2 linked regions of the Lonchura striata genome follow. The protein of the gene in region 1 purifies or fractionates together with the protein of each later gene. This does not show direct contact. Links are inferred from orthologs where the notes say so. Each region holds a gene or a part of one and is shown in the gene's direction. Other genes may lie near its edges. The genes, in order: OCRL and PLEKHJ1.

The links.
Region 2: the proteins of OCRL (region 1) and PLEKHJ1 purify together in Homo sapiens (co-immunoprecipitation; 3 studies listed by BioGRID and IntAct, counting the BioPlex papers as one, with this or other methods). This does not show direct contact. The link is inferred for Lonchura striata from reciprocal best matches to the Homo sapiens genes OCRL and PLEKHJ1.

What each region holds. Positions count from the first base shown.
Region 1 is NC_134616.1:15,209,688-15,218,453, forward strand, and holds the start of OCRL (inositol polyphosphate 5-phosphatase OCRL), read left to right. Parts: upstream 1-4,630; 5' UTR 4,631-4,653; coding exon 4,654-4,686; intron 4,687-4,777; coding exon 4,778-4,857; intron 4,858-5,277; coding exon 5,278-5,357; intron 5,358-6,207; coding exon 6,208-6,246; intron 6,247-6,671; coding exon 6,672-6,782; intron 6,783-6,853; coding exon 6,854-6,937; intron 6,938-7,232; coding exon 7,233-7,353; intron 7,354-7,432; coding exon 7,433-7,594; intron 7,595-8,470; coding exon 8,471-8,572; intron 8,573-8,766. Other genes in the region: ERCC6L (DNA excision repair protein ERCC-6-like), read right to left, coding at 229-4,054, 4,213-4,268. UniProt on the Homo sapiens protein: Catalyzes the hydrolysis of the 5-position phosphate of phosphatidylinositol 4,5-bisphosphate (PtdIns(4,5)P2) and phosphatidylinositol-3,4,5-bisphosphate (PtdIns(3,4,5)P3), with the greatest catalytic activity towards PtdIns(4,5)P2.
Region 2 is NC_134630.1:2,945,085-2,953,850, reverse strand, and holds the start of PLEKHJ1 (pleckstrin homology domain-containing family J member 1), read left to right. Parts: upstream 1-4,322; 5' UTR 4,323-4,553; coding exon 4,554-4,647; intron 4,648-5,700; coding exon 5,701-5,768; intron 5,769-6,740; coding exon 6,741-6,807; intron 6,808-8,486; coding exon 8,487-8,577; intron 8,578-8,760; coding exon 8,761-8,766. Other genes in the region: SF3A2 (splicing factor 3A subunit 2), read right to left, coding at 262-308, 959-1,030, 2,259-2,384.

The sequences.
Region 1 (8,766 bases):
AGACAGGAACAGGAACCATTTTCACCTTTGTCAGTTGACTCCACAGAACACCCTCCCCAGGATCCAACACCTGGATGTCTGGGCTGTTTCCTCAAGCAGGAAGTGATGAATTTGCTCATTCCCATGAGTATAGGGCAGGCATCAGCCCGGAGCTGGCTCAGGGATCCCAGGGCCATGGTGCAGACCCACAAGGAACAGCCAGACTTTCTTCACAGAGCCACATACATGTCACTTCTGGGCCAGCTGTCGGTACAAGTTCAGAGTCAGCAGCATAACTTCAGGATCTCCACTTTTTATGTCAAGAGCTTGCAGGAAGCAGTCCAAAGCCTCCTGGAGTTTTCCATCATTCTGAAGCTTCTTCCCACTCTGTACCAAAGTGTCATAATCTGCAGCAGGAGAGGAATTCTGCCCAATGTCCTTTTCAGAGCTGCTTTGCTGGGTGAAGTAGTCAATCTGCTCATCTGACTGGAGCTCAGCGTCACCTGTGGATTCCTCCTGTGATGACTCTGCCTCGGACTGCTCAGATTCCACACTGTCTGTGTGAGAGGACTCTTCACTTGTATCAAGTGTTTCTCCATCAGGTTCTTCTTCAGGCTCAGCAGATTCCCCAGTGCACTCCTCAGCTTCATCTTCCACAAGCCCATCTTGCTCCTCCTCCTCCTCCTCCTCATCATCATCATCATCATCATCATCATCTTCTTCATCAGTGGTTCCCATGATTTCCCCAATGTCCTCCACCTCATCTACCAACCTGCTGATGAATGAGCGCCTGGAAGCATTAGACCTGTTTCCACTGTTATTTAATTGGGGAGAAAAGATGGCTTTAGCTCTTGTTGTGTCATATTTAGGGGTGGAAGCATTAATTCCTTCCAGACGTCCGTGCTGAATGCTATCCAAGGGAGAGGAGGGCACTTGTTCAGGCTGCTCTTCACTCTCACTGTCTGAAGAAATTCTGTTTAAGCGTTTCTTCCTACTAGAAATAAAGAGACCACTGCTTTCCTCCAATGATTTACTCTCTTGCAGGGAGGCATTTGGCTCTTCCTCAGCTGTGAGACAGGGTTTGCCATGGCTACTGGTCTCACTTGGCCAAGTTTTGTTTGGAGATTCTTTGTCTGGAGATTTACACAAGCTTTCTGCCTGGAGTTGTAAGCTCTCCTTCTCAGGGTGTTCCACTGATCCTCCTCTATTTGAGGCATCCTGCCATTCCTCTTCAGACTCTTCCAAAACCAGATTGAAGTCAACTTGATCCTGGAAAGAAGGAGCAGATGTAGCCTCTGAGCTGTCTTCTAGCACATGAGACTTGTAGAGCTCAGCATTGACTTCTGGTGTAGCATTTTTTAAACTCAGCACTGCAGAAGCCGGCTCAGGATCATTGTTCTGCTCTGTCCCCAGGGCACTGTGTGGGTCAAGTATCTGAACTGACAATTCTGCCTCACTTCTAGGATCAGCCATGCCAGACTGGGAGGAATTGTGACAATGCCAAGACAGGTCATTCCTTGTCTTGGCCGAGCTGTCTGAATGTACCTGCGAATGTTGTTTCTCTTGGAGGCTCTGACTCTCTTTCTCGAGTGCAGGGGATGATGGTATAATGTTAGATTCAGGATTTTGCTCAGATTCTTGTTCTGCTTGTTCTTGATCAGATTGTTCTGCTGTCTTGCTGGTATTGAGCACTTCTGTCTCCATACTGGACACACCTTGTGCCAGTTGCTCTTCATCCAAGTCACCAACAGTCAGAGTTGCCATTCTGGAGCTGACATCGAGCACCTGGGCTTCTTCGTCCTCTGTAAGATCAATAAATTTGTCTTTTTCTTGTGCATCAGCTACTGGTGGTGAAACAAAATTATTTTTGTCATTCAACCCTGGAGACAACTTCTTTGGCCTGGAAACTGATCCCGATGGTCTTTGCCACAACTCTTCACAAGTATTCCTGATCCCCTCCATCCTCTGATCTCTGAGCTGGGACTCCAGCTGGACCAGCTCATGGGCTTTCTGTACTCTCCGCTGGATGTACTGATGGGCTTCCTCGCTCTCCACCTGCTCCTCATGAGCCATCTCCCTTGTGTAGATCAGGTCGTGGTCAGAAATGCCAAACATTGCCAAGGAATGCAGGTAAGCAAGATGCTCATCCAGCTGCAGGTCAGACTTCCTTTGCATGGCGTGCAGGGACTGCAGCTGGATCTGAGTTGCAGATGTCCGAGTATCTTCCAATATGAAGAGCTCTCTTAGTTCCTGTTTGGAGAAATAACGGAACGGGTTCTTTTTGTCACCGGTGGTCTGTCTGATTAACGAGTCCTTGAATACCTGCCGCCTGTATATCTTCTCTTCCACGGTGCCGCAGGTGATCAGTCTGTAAATCACTACGTTCTCTTTTTGCCCAATTCTGTAAGCTCTGTCCACAGCCTGAGCATCAGTTGCTGGATTCCAGCTGGGATCAAAGATCACCACTCGGCTGGCCGCTGTCAAGGTTATGCCAACGCCCCCAACCTGTGTGGTGAGCAGGAAGACAGAGTAGGTGGTGTTGCTCTGGAAGGCGTTGATGCGCCTCTCCCGCTCCGTCAGGTGGGTCACCGTGCCGTCGATGCGCAGGATCTGGAACTGTCGGCGAGACAGGACGAACTCTATGATATCCAGCATCTTCCTCGACTGTGAGAACACCAGGGTTCGGTGTCCCTCTTCTCTCAGCCGCTCCAGCAGTCCCACAAGGAACTGCATCTTCCCAGACTCCTCGATCACAGTCTCATCAGAGAGATGATCTATTTTGTTCTTGCCTGCAAACATAACTGCTTCCATCCTGTAATCCTGCTCGGAGTCCTCCTCTTCCTCTTCCAAGCCCAGCTGGGTACAGGCTCTTGGAGACAGAAGCCTGGGGTGGTCACAGAGTTTCTTCAGGATTGTCAGCTCAGCCAAAGGTGATCGGTTCATCATCAGTACTTCCTTCACATGATCGAGGCAGAGAAAGTTCCTGTAGATTTCTTCCTGCACTGGTGCCAGGTACACCCACACGACAAAGTCATTTTTCCTAGTGAGAGATGGCATGACAGGAGCCTTGTTCTCACTTGGATCCTCAGAAAGAGTAGGATCAGCTTTATTGGTATGATAGTTTTTGATGTCTTCCTTGGTCCTTCTGAGGAAATAAGGCTTTATAATTGACATGAGATTCTCTGATATCTTTAGCCCCAGTGCTTTCTCACCTGGAGTCGCATCCTTCTCCCTCGCCCTGGTAATGGGATTCTCATACTCCATTTTAAAAGTTTTGGCAGTTCCCAGGAGGGAGCCTTGACAGGCAAAGTCAAACAAGGACCACAGTTCCCGGAGGTTGTTCTGCACAGGGGTGCCTGTAAGCAGGATGCGGTAGTGGGCCGGGATTGCATACACACACTTGGTTGTCTTGTTTGACGGGCACTTGATCTTATGTGCTTCATCAAGGATAATGTAGTCCCAGACAAACTCCTGCTCATGGCGGCTGGCCAGCTGCTTCCAATTGTTAATGAGCATCTGGTAGCTCGTGATGATGATGCCGTTCTTCCTCTGGACCCTTTCCAAGTTCCTGGTGCGCTCTGTCTTGCTGGTGCCATGGAACTCCTTGACGCGAAGGCCGGGGGTCCAGCGAGCAAACTCAGCCAGCCAGCTGCTGACCAGGGTGGTGGGCATGATGAGTAGGACGTGCTGGATGAGCTCGGCATCGAACATACCCGACAGGAAGGCAATCACCTGGATGGTCTTGCCCAGGCCCATGTCATCTGCCAGGATGCCGCCAGGCTTGCGCTCCCGGTGCAGGCGGTACAGGAAGGCAACACCTTCCCGCTGGTGCTGGAACAGCTTCCTGTGCATCTCCCCGTAGATCAGCAGGCCGCTGCCGCACACGTCCACGAAACCCTCATCATCCTCCTCCTCCTCCTGCTGCTGCTGCTCGGCCGCCGCCAGTGCCTCCTGCACCCGCCGCATGCGGTTCTGCAGCTTCTCGCTGGGGCGGATGGCAGCCGCCAGCCGGAACAGCCGCAGCGCCTCTTCAAGGTCCCCGTCGGCCGCCGCCGCCTTCGCGCTGGCCACGAGCCTGTGGGAGTCACCGTGAGCACCGGGTGGCCAGGCCCGGGCTGCACCCAGGAGTGCCGGCCCGGCCCGGCCCGCCAACGCCAACCCCGAACCCAACCCCAGCCCCAGCCCCAGCCCCAGCCCGCCCGCCCGCGGCCGCTCAGCCCCGTCGCCGCTCACCCCCGGTACCGCTCCTCTTCTGCCGCCGCCGCCTCTCGCGGCCCGGGAGCGGCCATGGCGCCAGCGCTGCCGCCCTGCGCTTCAAACCCGGCCCTTCCCGGCCTGCCCCGCGCCACATGTAAATCACCACCGCCCGCAGCCAATCAACGCCGGGGGCGGGCAAAGGGGCGGGGCCGAGCGCTGCCCGCGCCTCCTCGCGGGTCGGGGCAAACACCGGGACGAGCTCCGGTCCCGGCCGGTCCCTTTCCCGCCGCGCGGTGGGAAGCGAGGTGTGGGACATCCAGGGGGAGCCCGGCAGATCCACAAGTCCGCCCGCCCCCGGCGCACTCCCGGTCACGGGCGCGGGCGGCGGGACCTCCCGCCAGCAGGGGGCGCGGCGGCGGGCGGCGCGGCGCTCCGCGGCCGTGCGCAGCGCGGAGCCGGCGGAGGGCGAGCGCTGCCATGGAGGCGCGCGCCGCGGGCCGCGGCCTGCTCGTATCCACCGCGCGCGGCGGGCCGGGCGGGCGGGGGGCCGCGGTGGGGCGGGGCAGGCCGGTGACCGGAGGTTTTCTTAACTGCGGCCAAGAGCGTTGCTGGTGCGGAGGTGCGGGCCGGGCGGCGGGAGCCGTGCGTGCTCGGCCTGGAGCGGCGGGCCGGCCGCTACGGGTGAGTGAGTGCGAGCGCGGCGGGGCCCGGCTCGCCTCGCTCGGTGCCGCCGCGGCGGGGCTCGGTTCCGCGCCCAGCTGCCACAGCCGTGACTCTCGGCATCCCTGCGTGCTCCCCCGGCCGGTCCCCTCACCCCGCGGGACCGGCGCTCCGGAGGTGCCTTCCCGGCTCCCCGATGCTCCCCCGGTAACCAGAGCCGCTGCCAGCCCGGTGTTGGACCTGCCCCGTGGCAGCGAGAGTTCAGCAGCTCTTCCTTCTCCCCCGGGGTATCCGCGTCCTGCACGATCTCACCTTCGTTGCCTTTTTCAACTCCTGCCCCAGAAGCTTAGCGATAAAAATCAAACGTTGTGTCTCTGTACACACAGCTCCTGTTTGTGTGCGTTCCTGCCGGGTTTTTACAAGCCTTCCTTCTGTCTGCAGGGTGGTTATTCGCTCCCAGGAGAAAGAAAACTCTGATCCGGATTATATTCCCATCAACAGCCGTTTTAAGTGTGTGCAAGGTACTGACTGCTGGGGGGAAGGTCGAGAATCCCCTGCTGTTGATCCACAAACCTTAAATTTAATGGTGTTTCCTGACCTGTCTCCCGAGCCACAGCGGATTGAATCCTTTCTCTGTGAAGCAGCAAGTCACATTTTATGGCATCCCCTTGTTCCTCATTCAAGCAGGTTGTCATTCCATGTCAGCATGAACTTGTGAGGAACTTGGCTGGCTCCAGTGCGTGGTGTGCTTGGCATCACACAGAGCCAACACATGCAGCATCTGGTTTCAGGGTCTGGAATTTGCTGTCTGCTGGTGTCGGTCTCTCAGACTTCTCTGCTCTGCCGAGAGTTGGGAGCTGTTGCTTTATCCTGCATGTTTACATCTAAACTTCCTAAGGTCTACCAAGCTCTCAGCATCCCACGTGCTGAATGAGGAAGGGCTTTAGGCCTTGTTTTGGAAGAACTTAAATAGCAGCAAGTGGTCCTGGGGCAAATCTTTGTAAGGAGTAAAAGTCCTTTTTCCTGAATTTACTCATTCCCTTGTGTGCAGTTCAGGATGTTCTGCCCCTGATTTTGCTCTGTAGAGAAGCTCTGAAGTTCCTTGTCAAGTTGGTCTTTCCTGAAGTAGCTGCACTGATGGGGAAAAACCAGCCAGATGTATGAGAACTGTGTGGTGGGAATCTCCCTGCTGGGAGGTGACTGTCCAGGTTCTCTCTGCCAGAACCGTTAGGAATGTACAGATGTAAATTAGAGCTCTTTGTTCCTGTTAGGACTCTCTCATGGCTGGCAGCAGGCAGTGTAATTATATGAGTCTTCAATTACTGCAGCATCCAGCGTCAGCTCTACTGATCATGTTTTTCTCTTTTCTAGAGGCAGAAGAAACTCTGCTGATTGATATAGCTACAAACAGTAAGTTTCATAAGGGTAGTGGTGCAGCTAAAGGTCCTGTCATGGAACAGCCACTGGTGCTTGTTTTGCCTTCCAGTCTTCCCCCAGGCTCTGTGTTTGTCCTCTGCTCAAACAGGGATTGTTTTCCCTCTGACATTGTCATCTGGCTCTGTGAGACACTGGCTTGTCATGACAGACAAGGTTTGAAATGCAAATGGTCAAAATGTTTGCAGTTATTTTCCTGCTTTTAGAGCTCTTGTTTTCAAAATTGCAGTAGGGAGGATTCCTAAAGCCAGGATAATGTGCTGGGGATATCCCAAGCAGTGTGGGGGGACCTCAGAAGTGCAGGGAGGTGCAGGTTTCCAAAACAAACAACACCTGGAAGCTGGGTGGGAAGCCTGGGGGCTCTGAGGCAGCCTGGGCTGACTCAGTGAGTGTGTTTGAAGCAGGCTGCAAGGTCCGGATCCAGGGTGACGAGGCGCCGGAGCGGCTCTTTGAGATCCCTGACGAGGAGCGCTGCTTGGGATTCCTGTCAGAAGTGCAGAGCATACAGGAAGGTGAGCAGAGTCTCCCCTGTGCATGTGAAATCCTCTGCCAGCAGTGACTGACAGGGATGGATTTTTTCCAGCCCACCTGAAAGCATCTCTTCCTGAACCTAAGGACTCAGCCATTTGGCATCAGGTGGAGAAGAGCCTTACAGGTCTATCTCCAGGTACAGTTGACTTTGCTCCGGGGCCTGTGCAGTTCTGGGGTGCCAAGGGTGGGATCTGGGTCTGGCCATGCTTCCTTGTCTGTTAATTCCTTCCTGAGTGCTATTTTCACCCTTGGTTTGTGTATGTTGAGCTTCCTGCCTTGCCTTGTGGTTAGTGCCCCTTTCTCCCATTTCCAGGGTCACACAGTTGATGTATTCCTACTCTCGTTTGGTTTTTTGGTTACATTTTTTCCTTCTTGATCTGAGCTGTTTCAGATTGTTTCTCAGGGTGTTTTTCTTGGATTTTTCATTACAGGAGCTCTGGGGTTTGAGGATGACTTCAACACTCTGAGCCTAGAAGAGAAAAGAAACATGCAAAACCACCAGACGGGATCTCGACGGGAACCCCCACCTCCTCCTGTCCCTCAGAATAAGCAGTAAGGGATCTGTTCCCTTTTTTACTTTTCTTCCTAGACAGCAGAACTAGTTCTAGTGCTGCTCTTGCTTCCTTCCTAGATTTCACCGGGAGAGAGAAGGCACATCCAGAGACCAGCCCAAGGTGACCAACACGATGCGCAAGATCTTTTTGCCCAGCACACAGTCGGGGCAGAGAGAGGGGCTCATCAAACATGTGCTGGCCAAGAGGGAGAAGGCCTACATCAACCTGCACAACTTCAGGTGAGACCTGGGAGGGAAGGACAGAGCTGCAGGATCTCTCCTGTGAGCTTGGATCTCACCCAGGATTGGACCCTGGTAGCTGGTGAGGGGTTGCAGCTCAAGTGGCCAGTGAGGATGGTACAGCCCAAAAGTCTCATGTCCATGGGACAGCTGCTCCCTTTGTCTTCTCTCTGTGTGTGTCAGATATTGTGAGCCTTGGTAGGGCTGGGGCAGGTGGGCAGAAAGAGTGAAGACTGAGGTCCCACCATAGTGTCATGGTGTTGCCCCTCGTGACATGATGTTCAAAGAGCCAGATGTTTGCTGGTGGAATGCCTTACTCAGGGGACTGTCACTGGGAGTGAGCCAAGCCTGGGAGAATTTTGAAGGAGTGACTGAGGGATCAGGGAAGCCTCAGCCTGGAGAAGAGGAGGCTCAGGGGGACCTTCTGGCTCTCCCCAGCTCCCTGACAGGAGGGGGCAGCCGGGGGGTTGGGCTCTGCTCCCAGGGAGCAAGGGAGAGTACAAAAGAAAATGGCCTCAAACTGCTGCAGGAAAGGTTCAGGTTGGACACCAGGAGGAATTTCTTCATGGAAGGGGTGGTCAGGCATTGGAAGGGGTTGCACAGGGAAGAGTCCCCATCTCTGGAGGTGCCTAAGGAATGCCTGCATGTGGCACTCCGTGCTCTGGGCTGGGTGACAAGGTGGGGATTGGGCACAGGTTGGACTCAGTGATCCTGGAGGTCTTTTCCGACCTCAGTGATTCTGTGACTTTCAGTTCCCCCATGGCAGTCATTGCCCCCTGTAGGGACAGTTCACAGTGTGTGCTTCCAGCCAGAACACTGTTGTGCTGCTGTGATTTTCATGGTGTTTCTAACAGCTCAGCTGCTTTTGTGTTGTAGGTTCTTTGTGGGAACCTGGAATGTGAATGGGCAGTCTCCTGACAGCTACTTGACCCCATGGCTGGCGTATGACATGGAGCCCCCGGATTTCTACTGCATCGGGTGAGCAGCTGCAGGGGCTCCAGGAGGACTGGCTTGGGTTTAGGTTCCTGTTGTGCTCTCAGAGGCTGCACAGAGCTGAGCTGTGGCACACAGGGGCCGTCTGAGGGCAAAAAGCTATTGGATGAGGCAGAGGATCAGGTTGTACAAAGCTAGCATGACATAATAGATTTTCCTGAAGAGCTGGAAATACAGAG
Region 2 (8,766 bases), on another chromosome or scaffold:
ACTCACACAATTTGCTTTTAAAACTCTCTCTCTCTCTTCATTCAGCAATTTCACAACTGGATTTGAACTTTAGCTTAAAATAGAGATCTTCAGCACCATTTTCCAAGCAGATCCAGGCTGTGCCTCCTGGCTGCATGAGGAACCACAGTAAAATAACAATCAGGCAGAGTGCAATGGAGTTAAAGGACTACAGACACCCAACATCATAATATTAAAGTGCTTCCGTAATGGAGAACAAAGTTATGGTAGAGGATAACTTACAAATTGGTCTGATGCTTCTTCCCCTGGGTATGTGCCAAGTAACTCCCCTGAAATAAAAACCAAGGTAGAAGTTAAATGAATCTGTGACTGAAACATTCCTGTCACAGGAAGATTGCATCACTCCCTGACAAGGGTGTTTTAATCCTCAGCACAGAGGAATCTCACTCCAAAAGTGCAGATTGCTCTCAGCTGCTGAGCTGTCATCATGTCTTGGGTTATAAATGTGTATTTTGTTTCTTATATAAGTGGGGCAGTTATTTTTTGTTATTGGGTAGCTTACTTTATCTCTTCTACAACTAATCTTCCCTCTGGGGAGATATCTCTTGTTAATGGGCCATGGAATCTCACTACATAACTGATAAAATTACATCATCTCATTGTGAGATGTTCTGCTCAGGGGGAGGAGCTAAGTATTCTTACTTAGATATAATCTGAGATTTAGAACACCAGGAGCAGTCCTTCTCTACCAGATTCTAAGAAGAACAGCTTTCTTTTTTACTAGATTCTCAGAAGAAGACTAAGCTCATCTACACTACTCCTGAACCTTCAGAAGAAAATCACTCTTCAACAAGATCTTGGTGCACACTGTCAGGTTTAACCACCCCTCAGGTCTCAGCAGTCACTGCCCACGTGCTGAAGCTCCTGTTATTCCCAAATTGCTGCTGCTAGGATCAGGACAGGCAGGTGCTCCCCTCACCTCATTGTTGTGGAGCGTCAGGCAAAGCTTGCACTCGTAGGAGCCCAAATGATTTTTCATAAAATAGGGGTCCTGGGAAAAGAATGACAGACGAGTTATGAGCAAAATCCATTGGCAAAATAAGAGAATAACCAAAATACTGCAGAGTTCTGCACTGGAAGAAAGGTTCTTCCCCCTGAGGGTGCTGGCACTGCCCAGGCTCCCCAGGGAATGGTCCCGGCCCCGAGGCTGCCAGAGCTGCAGGAGCGTTTGGACAGCGCTCTCAGGGCTGCTCAGGGTGGGGCTGTTGGGGGGTCTGTGCAGGGACAGAAGCTGGACTGATGATCCCTGAGGGTCCCTCCCAGCTCAGGATACCCTAGGATCCTGTAGCTGAGTTCAGATTTTAAATTAACAGCACAAGAGAGGTTTAGGAGGAGGAAACAAGAGAGAACCAACAGCAGCTATGTGTGCAGTGGTGACAGAATTCCCAACTGTAGCAGGAAACACCACAACCCAAACCAGCCCTGGGGAGACTGGAAATAGATGGATACACAAGAGCTGGCACCTCCTTGTCACTCTGTCCTAAATATTCCTTATTCAACCCCCACATGCCCAGAAACAGATGTATTTAAACCCAATCCACACCTCAGCCTGGAAACAAGGAGGCTCTGGGGTGACCATAAAGCCTAAAGGGGCTCCAAGAGAACTGGAGGAATGTCGCCCTGATTCTTAAGATTTTCTAAAGCCTTCTGAGTTTCCATTCTGTTAGAGAACTTTCTCACACAACTTTCTGTAAACAACTTATTGTTCTGCATTCCTTCATAGAGGTGGAGAAACTTGATGTACTAGTAGTTTGTCCAATGTCATTGGAGAGGTGGCACTTGCACCCTCCAATCCACTGTTACCTTTAAAAAAGTATAAATGCTGGAGTCAGAAAATAAACTCTTTCTTTTTCACCTTTGCAATAGTAGCAGCTTGTGTCATGCTTTCATGTGTCCTATACCGACAGAGGAAAACTTTGGAAAAGGGCCTGGAAGGACAGGACAAAGGGAAATGGCTTCAAAGAGACCAAGAGTAGGTTTAGATGGGAGACTGGGGAAAAATTCTTGGCTGTGAGGGTGGGCAGCTGGCATGGATTTCCCAGAGCAGCTGTGGCTGCCCCTGGATCCCTGGAAGTGTCCAAGTCTAGGCTGGACAGGGCTTGGAGAAACCTGAGATGTCCCTGGATGAGCTTTAATGCTCCCTTCAACCCAAAGCACTGCAGGATGCCATGAATGTGACTGTGCCCGGTGTCCCCCGGGCTGCGGGGGCTCCCCTGCACCTTGTTGATGTCGATGGTCTCCAGGGCCAGCTGCCGCAGCCGCTCCCGCCGGTCCCGGTTGCTCTCGGAGGCCGAGGCCACGCCCCCGCTGCCCGTTTTACCCCCGGGCCGGTGCTGGAAATCCATGCTGGGGATTTCTGGGCTTCAGCTCCTCCTGGAGAAATGGAGTCTGCCAAGAGGAAGGAGTGTCAGGGACAACTGAGCCACAGGACTCTTCAGCCGCAGCAGCGAGGGTGGGGGTGACACCCAGGCATGCCCCAGGCACACAGCACGGGATGCAATCCCACATGGAGCACATCCGGCACCACCGACCTGGGAAAGCCGAGTACGGATCCAGAAAATCCCCCCGGAGCCCTTCCCATCACCTCAGCCACTCCAAGCCCAGCTGGGCCCCACCAGAGGAGCCTTCCCCCCTCACCTGAGGTACCAACAGCCCCAGAGCTCCTCCCTGACCACCACCAGGTCTATGCTCCCCCACCACCCCCAAAGCCCCAGGGCCACCCCCAACACCAAGGGAGGGTCAGAGCCCCCCAAGCCCCCCAACAAGGTCAGGGGTTCTGAGCAATGTCCCCAAGCCCCAGGTGAGGTCCTGGAGTCCCCCCTGCCCTCAGCAAGGTCAGAGCCCTGCCTAGACCTCCCCACAGGGAGCCCAAACACTGGAAAGACCTTTGAGGAACCCCAAATCCTTCCCCACAGAGCACCCAGTTCTCCAGTGTCTCGTCCCCAGTCCCTCTCCAGCCACATCCCCCTGTAGCTTCAGTCCTGATTCAGCCAGTCAAGGCCCACTGACTCCCACTCAGGTGCTCTTCCCCATCCTCCCCACACTCCCCTGGCCCTACCCCAGTTTCCCACTCGTGATTCTCCAGCTCCCCCAGCCCCACCACCCCAGTTCTCCTAGTCCCTCCATTTCCAGCACCCTCAGTTTCTCCAGCACCCCCAGTCCTCCCACCCAGGGCACCCAGTTTCCCCAGTACTTTTCCAGTAGCTCCATCCCAGTTCTGCATTCGGCAACCTCCAGGTGCCTCCGTTCCTGCCCCGCTGATCCTCCCAGTAACCCAAATCCTGCCCTGGTGCTACCCTGGTTTCCCACTCGTGATTCTCCAGTTCCCCCAGCCTCACCACCCAGACCACCCAGCACTCCCAGTCCCTCCTCACCCAGTTCTCTCAATTCTTCCTTACCCAGCTCTCCCAGTCCCTCCTTCCCAGCTCTCCAGTCCCTCCTCACTCAGCATGCCAAGTCTCTCCATACTCCAAACTCCCAGTCCTTCTTCACCCAGTTCTCTCAATTCCTCCTCACCAAGCTCTCCTAGTCTCTCCATACCCAGATCTCCCAGTCTCTTCTCCCCCAGTTCTCTGAATCCTCCTCACCCAGCACTCCCAGTCCCTCCTCACCCAGTTCTCTCAATTCCCCTTCACCCAGCATTCCACATCTCTCCATACCCAGCTCTCCCAGTCTCTCCATACCCAGCATTTCCAGTCCCTCTTTCCCAGCTTTCCAGTCCCTCCTCACCCAGCATTTCCAGTTCCTCCTTTCCCAGTTCTCCCAGTCTCTTCTCTCCCAGCTTTTGCAATCCCTCCTTTCCCAGCTCTCCAGTCCTTCCTCACCCAGTTCTCAATTCCTGCTTCCCAGCTCTCCCAGTCTCTCCATACCCAGCATTCCCAGTCCCTCTCTTCCAGCTCTCCCAGTCTCTCCTCACGCAGCACTCCCAGTTGCCCAGCCCCGACTCCCCAGTTCCCCCAGTCCTGCCCCGTTCCCCCTCAGTCCCCCTCTCCCCTCAGTTCCCCCTCTCCCCTCACGGCCCCTCTTCAGTCCCCCTCTCCCCTCATGGCCCCTCTCCCCTCAGCTCCCCTCTCCCCCCTCTCCCCTCAGGGTCTCTCCCCGCTCCGAACCTGCGCGCGGCCGCGCTCCCGCCCCGGCGCCTGCGCGCTCCCGCGGCTCCGCGGTGTTTCCGGCCCGCCGAGGCCGTTCCGGCTCCGAAGCCGTTCCGGGCCCGCCGAAGCCGTTCCGGGCCCTGGAGCCGTTCCGGCCCCGAAGCCGTTCCGGGCCCCGAAGCCGTTCCGGCCCCGAAGCCGTTCCGGGCCCTGGAGCCGTTCCGGGCCCGCCGAGGCCGTTCCGGGCTCCGAAGCCGTTCCGGGCTCTGAAGCCGTTCCGGGCCCCGAAGCCGTTCCGGCCCGCCGAGGCCGTTCCGGGCTCCGAAGCCGTTCCGGCCCCGGAGCCGTTCCGGGCGCTCTGAGGGCGCTTCCGGCGGCGCTGGGGCGGCCCGGGCGGGGCCGTGGCCGGGGCCGGGGCCCGCCATGCGCTACAACGAGCGGGAGCTGCTGTCCCTGGCCCGGCAGCCGGCCGAGAAAGCGGCCGAGATCCGCATGAGTGTCCCCAAGAAGGGCAGCGGTGAGCGGGATCCGCGCGGGGCGCAGCCGGGGCTGGGGTACCGGGGCGGGAGCGCGGGGGGATCGGCGCTGCCTGAGGGGCCCCGAGCGGGGAGGCAGGGCTGGGACAGCGGGAGCGGTGTGCGAGGGGAGCTGCGGCGGTGGGGCTGAGGATACTGGGGAAACTGGGGCGGCTCCGAGCCGGGACTGGGCGAACTGGGAGTGCTGGGGGAGGCAGGGGAAGGTGGGACAGGACCGGCGGTACCTGGGGGGCAGAGTCGGGACTGGGGATACTGGGAGGGACTGGGAAGGTGCCGTGGGTGGTGGGGCTGGGGGAACTGGAGAATCACGAGTGGGAAACTGGGGTAGGACCAGGGAAGGGCTGAGGGTACTTGAGGGGCCCCGACTGCAGAATCAGAACTGGAGCTGCTGGGGGAAGAGGCTGGAGAGGGTCTGGGGGAGCTGGGTGGGAGGATTGAGGGTACTGGAGAATCCAGGCTGGGAAACCAGGGCAGGACTGGGAGTGCTGGGAGGCAGGGCTGGGGACAGGCAGGCTGGGAGGGCTGGAGTGTGGCAGTGGGGAGCACGAGTGCTGGGCTCCAGTATGGGCGTGCAGGGAGGTTCTGGGGCTGGGCTGGGGCCAGGGAGATCCCCCATTTCCAGGGGATCTGGGGAAGAAGGTCTTCCCTGAAATCTCCTAGAAAATTCCCCTGCAAACAAGCAGTGTTGTGCTCACTCCCTTGTCCTGAGCCTTTCGTCCTCTGAGCACCTGCTGGACTTTGTCCCGTGGGGGTGACGCCCGTGCTGGCAGCTCCAGGCAGGGCTCCCAGGATCCGGAGCTTTTCCTGGAGTGCCTGGAGCCCCGTGGTGCTGCTGCTGTGAGCTCTGACTGCCCGGGAGCTGCTCAGGGGCTTTGTCACCCTGAGGCCACTCAGACACTGTCACCCTGAGGGAGCAGCCTCGGGGGGTGCCTTGGTGGGGTCAGCGCCACGCTGGGCCCTGGCAGGGTGGGCAGGGCTCCCCTGCTCCCCGTGCCCCTGCCTCAGCCCTGCCCTGCTCCCTTGTGCCCCTGCAGTGCTGAAGAAGCGCCTGGTGAAGCTCGTGGTGAACTTTCTCTTCTACTTCCGCACCGATGAGGCTGAGGTAGGGATTGGGCCTCTGCGTGGGGTTTGTTCCCCTCCTCCTTTCTTCTTTTTCTATGCCTGGATTGTGTGGGCTGGGAAAATGGTGCATGGCAGAGCTGGAGCAGGGTCCACCTTCCATCAGTTCAGCAGGGCTCCAGGAGAGCTGGAGAGGGACTGGGGACAAGGCCTGGAGGGACAGGACACAGGGAATGGCTCCCAGTGCCAGAGGGCAGGGCTGGATGGGAGATTGGGCAGGAATTGTTCCTGGCAGGGTGGGCAGGCCCTGGCACAGGGTGCCCACCCTGGATCCCTGGCAGTGCCCAAGGCCAGGCTGGACAGGGCTTGGAGCAGCCTGGGATGGTGGAAGGTGTCCCTGCCATGGCAGGAGTGGCACTGGATGGGCTTTGAGATCTCTTCCAACCCAAAGAGTTGTATGAAATGCAAGATAAATCAGGTCTGCAATCCCTTCCCTGCTGCCTGATTTGCTTCTGACATGTTGGTTCACTTGGACAAGGATTTCTTGTGGTTGCTTTTGTTCATGGCCAATGTCACCTGCTGTCCCCGTGTCCCTGAGTAGTACCAGGTGGTTTTTTGGTCATCCTCAGCTGCTGCAGCTCTGCTCACACTTGCAAGGCTCCAGGACAGCCCTTGCATAGCTCAGTGTTGGTTATTCTGGGTGTCACAGTAAATGTTTCATCTTTGATTTTAAAAGCAAATGTTTTTCTCTGGTATCACAGAGTGGTTAAGACCAGGCTGAAACTGAGCCAGTAGAGATGATTGACACCTAATTAACAAATGCAAAGTGTTGCAGGTGAGACTGGCATGAAAAGGTGATTAAAGGAACATGAAATATGGTGCAATCAGAATGAATTATTCAAAAGCAGCACCAGCTTGTGAAAGTTGCTTAAAAGGCTCCAGGGAAGTACCGTGGGTTGAGCCCTCGTGGTGTTGGGGCCCCTGTGGGTTAAACCTTCTCTCCATGTGTTTTCAGCCCATTGGAGCTCTGCTGCTGGAGCACTGCAAGATCACCAAAGAGGAGGAGAACGTCTTCTCCATCAGTGAGTGCTGCCTGTGCACCCCTTTGCCTTCCCCTGGTGGGAAAGGGAATGCTGAATGCTCAGTTCTGCTTTCCCCTGTTTCCCTGGTGCAGTGGGGTCAGCTCAGCCCTTCCCCTCCTCAGTGGGGTCACTGCCCCCAGCCCTTCTCCTCTCCCTCAGTGGGGTCAGGGCCCTTCAGGTGGGGGTCAGGCTCTGCTCCCAGGGAACAGAGGACAAGACAAGAAGAAATGTCCTCCAGTTGTGCCCAGGACAGGTTTAGATTGGATACTGGGGAAAATTTACTCACCAAAAAGGTTTGGAAGTACTGGCACGGACTGCCCAGGGCAGTGGTGGAGTCCCCATCCCTGGGAGTGTTCAGGAGATCTGTGGATGTGGCACCTGGGGACAGGGGTGAGTGGTGAACCTGGTGGTGCTGAGCTGATGGTTGGACTTGATGGTCTTAAAGGCCATTTCCAACTTTACCAATTCCTCAACCTTTCCCCTCCTCAGGTGCCAGCTGTTCCTCACTGTGCCTGTGGCCATCCCGAGGAAAGCTCAGGGATATTCCATGGCACAGCCTGAGGGACTTGCACAGCTGCACGTGCAGAGCAGCACTAAGAGCAGCCAGGCCCCACTGCCTGCCTGTGGAATCTCTGGCAGGGGGAGCTTGGTTATTGACAGATCTGCTCTGTGCTGCTGCATTTTATCCAAAAAACACCCTAGAGAGGCTCAGATAAAGCTGCTCCAGCCCCATCCTCCCCTCTGTGCGTCCTTGTGCAGCGGCAGCTGGGCCAGCTCCCCTGGGAGCAGCCTTTCATCCCGCAGCTCTCCCCTCTGCCAGAGGTATGTGGCCACAATAACAGGATGTTTCTCCAAGGCCATCCCTGTATCTTTTGGCCTGGCTGCCAGGCACAGCTGTGGTTCTGCTCTGTGCTTCCAAAGGACCCACAAACTGCCTGAACACACTGAGCCTGGAGCACCATGTGCTGGATTTTGGGGCTTTAGGGATTTTGGGAGCTCTGGTGGAGGAGGATTCCTGAGCAGGGTTAAACCCAGCGGTACCTGGTGTTGGGATGTGTCCACAGCCCATCCCGAGGTGCTGGTGCAGCCTGACCCAGGTGCTTGGCAGCAGCAGCCCTGAGGGTCTGCTCAGCAGAGCTTTGGGGACAGGAACTGGTGGCATGTCCTGGCTCTGTCCTGGTCAAGAACTGGAGTGGCACCAGGACCTGCTCTCCATGGTGGGAGTACCATGTGAATACCACGTTCCCAAAAGCTTCCAGCAAAGGCAGCTCAGGGCCTTCTCCCAGTGCAGTTTAACTCCTCTGTTGGCTGCTCCCTGCAGGTATCCCAGTTCCTCTCTCAGGGCTGTTCCCACTTGGATTTAAATTCCTGGTGTCTTTGCAAGGGGCCTCAGGGAGTCAGTCCTGGATCTGGCCGTGTGGTCCAGTTCAATTCACCCTCAGTTTGGGAAGCTGCTCTTCCCAAGGTCTCTGGCTGCTGTAAGCTGGGAAATGCTGTGGGCAGCTGCCCCAGGCACCCAGAGCCACCCAGGCAATGGGAGAGGGGCTGGAGGTGGGGGCTGCAGACTCATTCCCACCTCATCTTCGTTAACAGAGCTGCTAATTGTGGCCTGGCAGAGTCTGGGGAGCACCAGCAGCTCTGCCAGGACCTGCCTGGAGCCTTTTCCTTGTCCCTGGCAGGTTTCATCGAGGAGCCAGAGAGGAAATACTGCTTTGAGTGTGCCACGGAGGAGCAGTGCCAGGAGTGGGTTGAGGCACTCAAGAGAGCCAGGTGGGCTGAGCCCTCGGAGCCAGGGCAGTGCTGGGGGCTCTGGGCTGTGTTCTGGGATCAGGAACTGGGAGGGCAGTGCTTGTCTCCTCCCAGACAAGCTTCCCTCCAGCTCGAAATAGCATCTGAAACTTCCCCACATCCTTCTCTGCTCAGCCCTTCCCGTGCTCTGTTCCTGTCTTGCAGCTACGA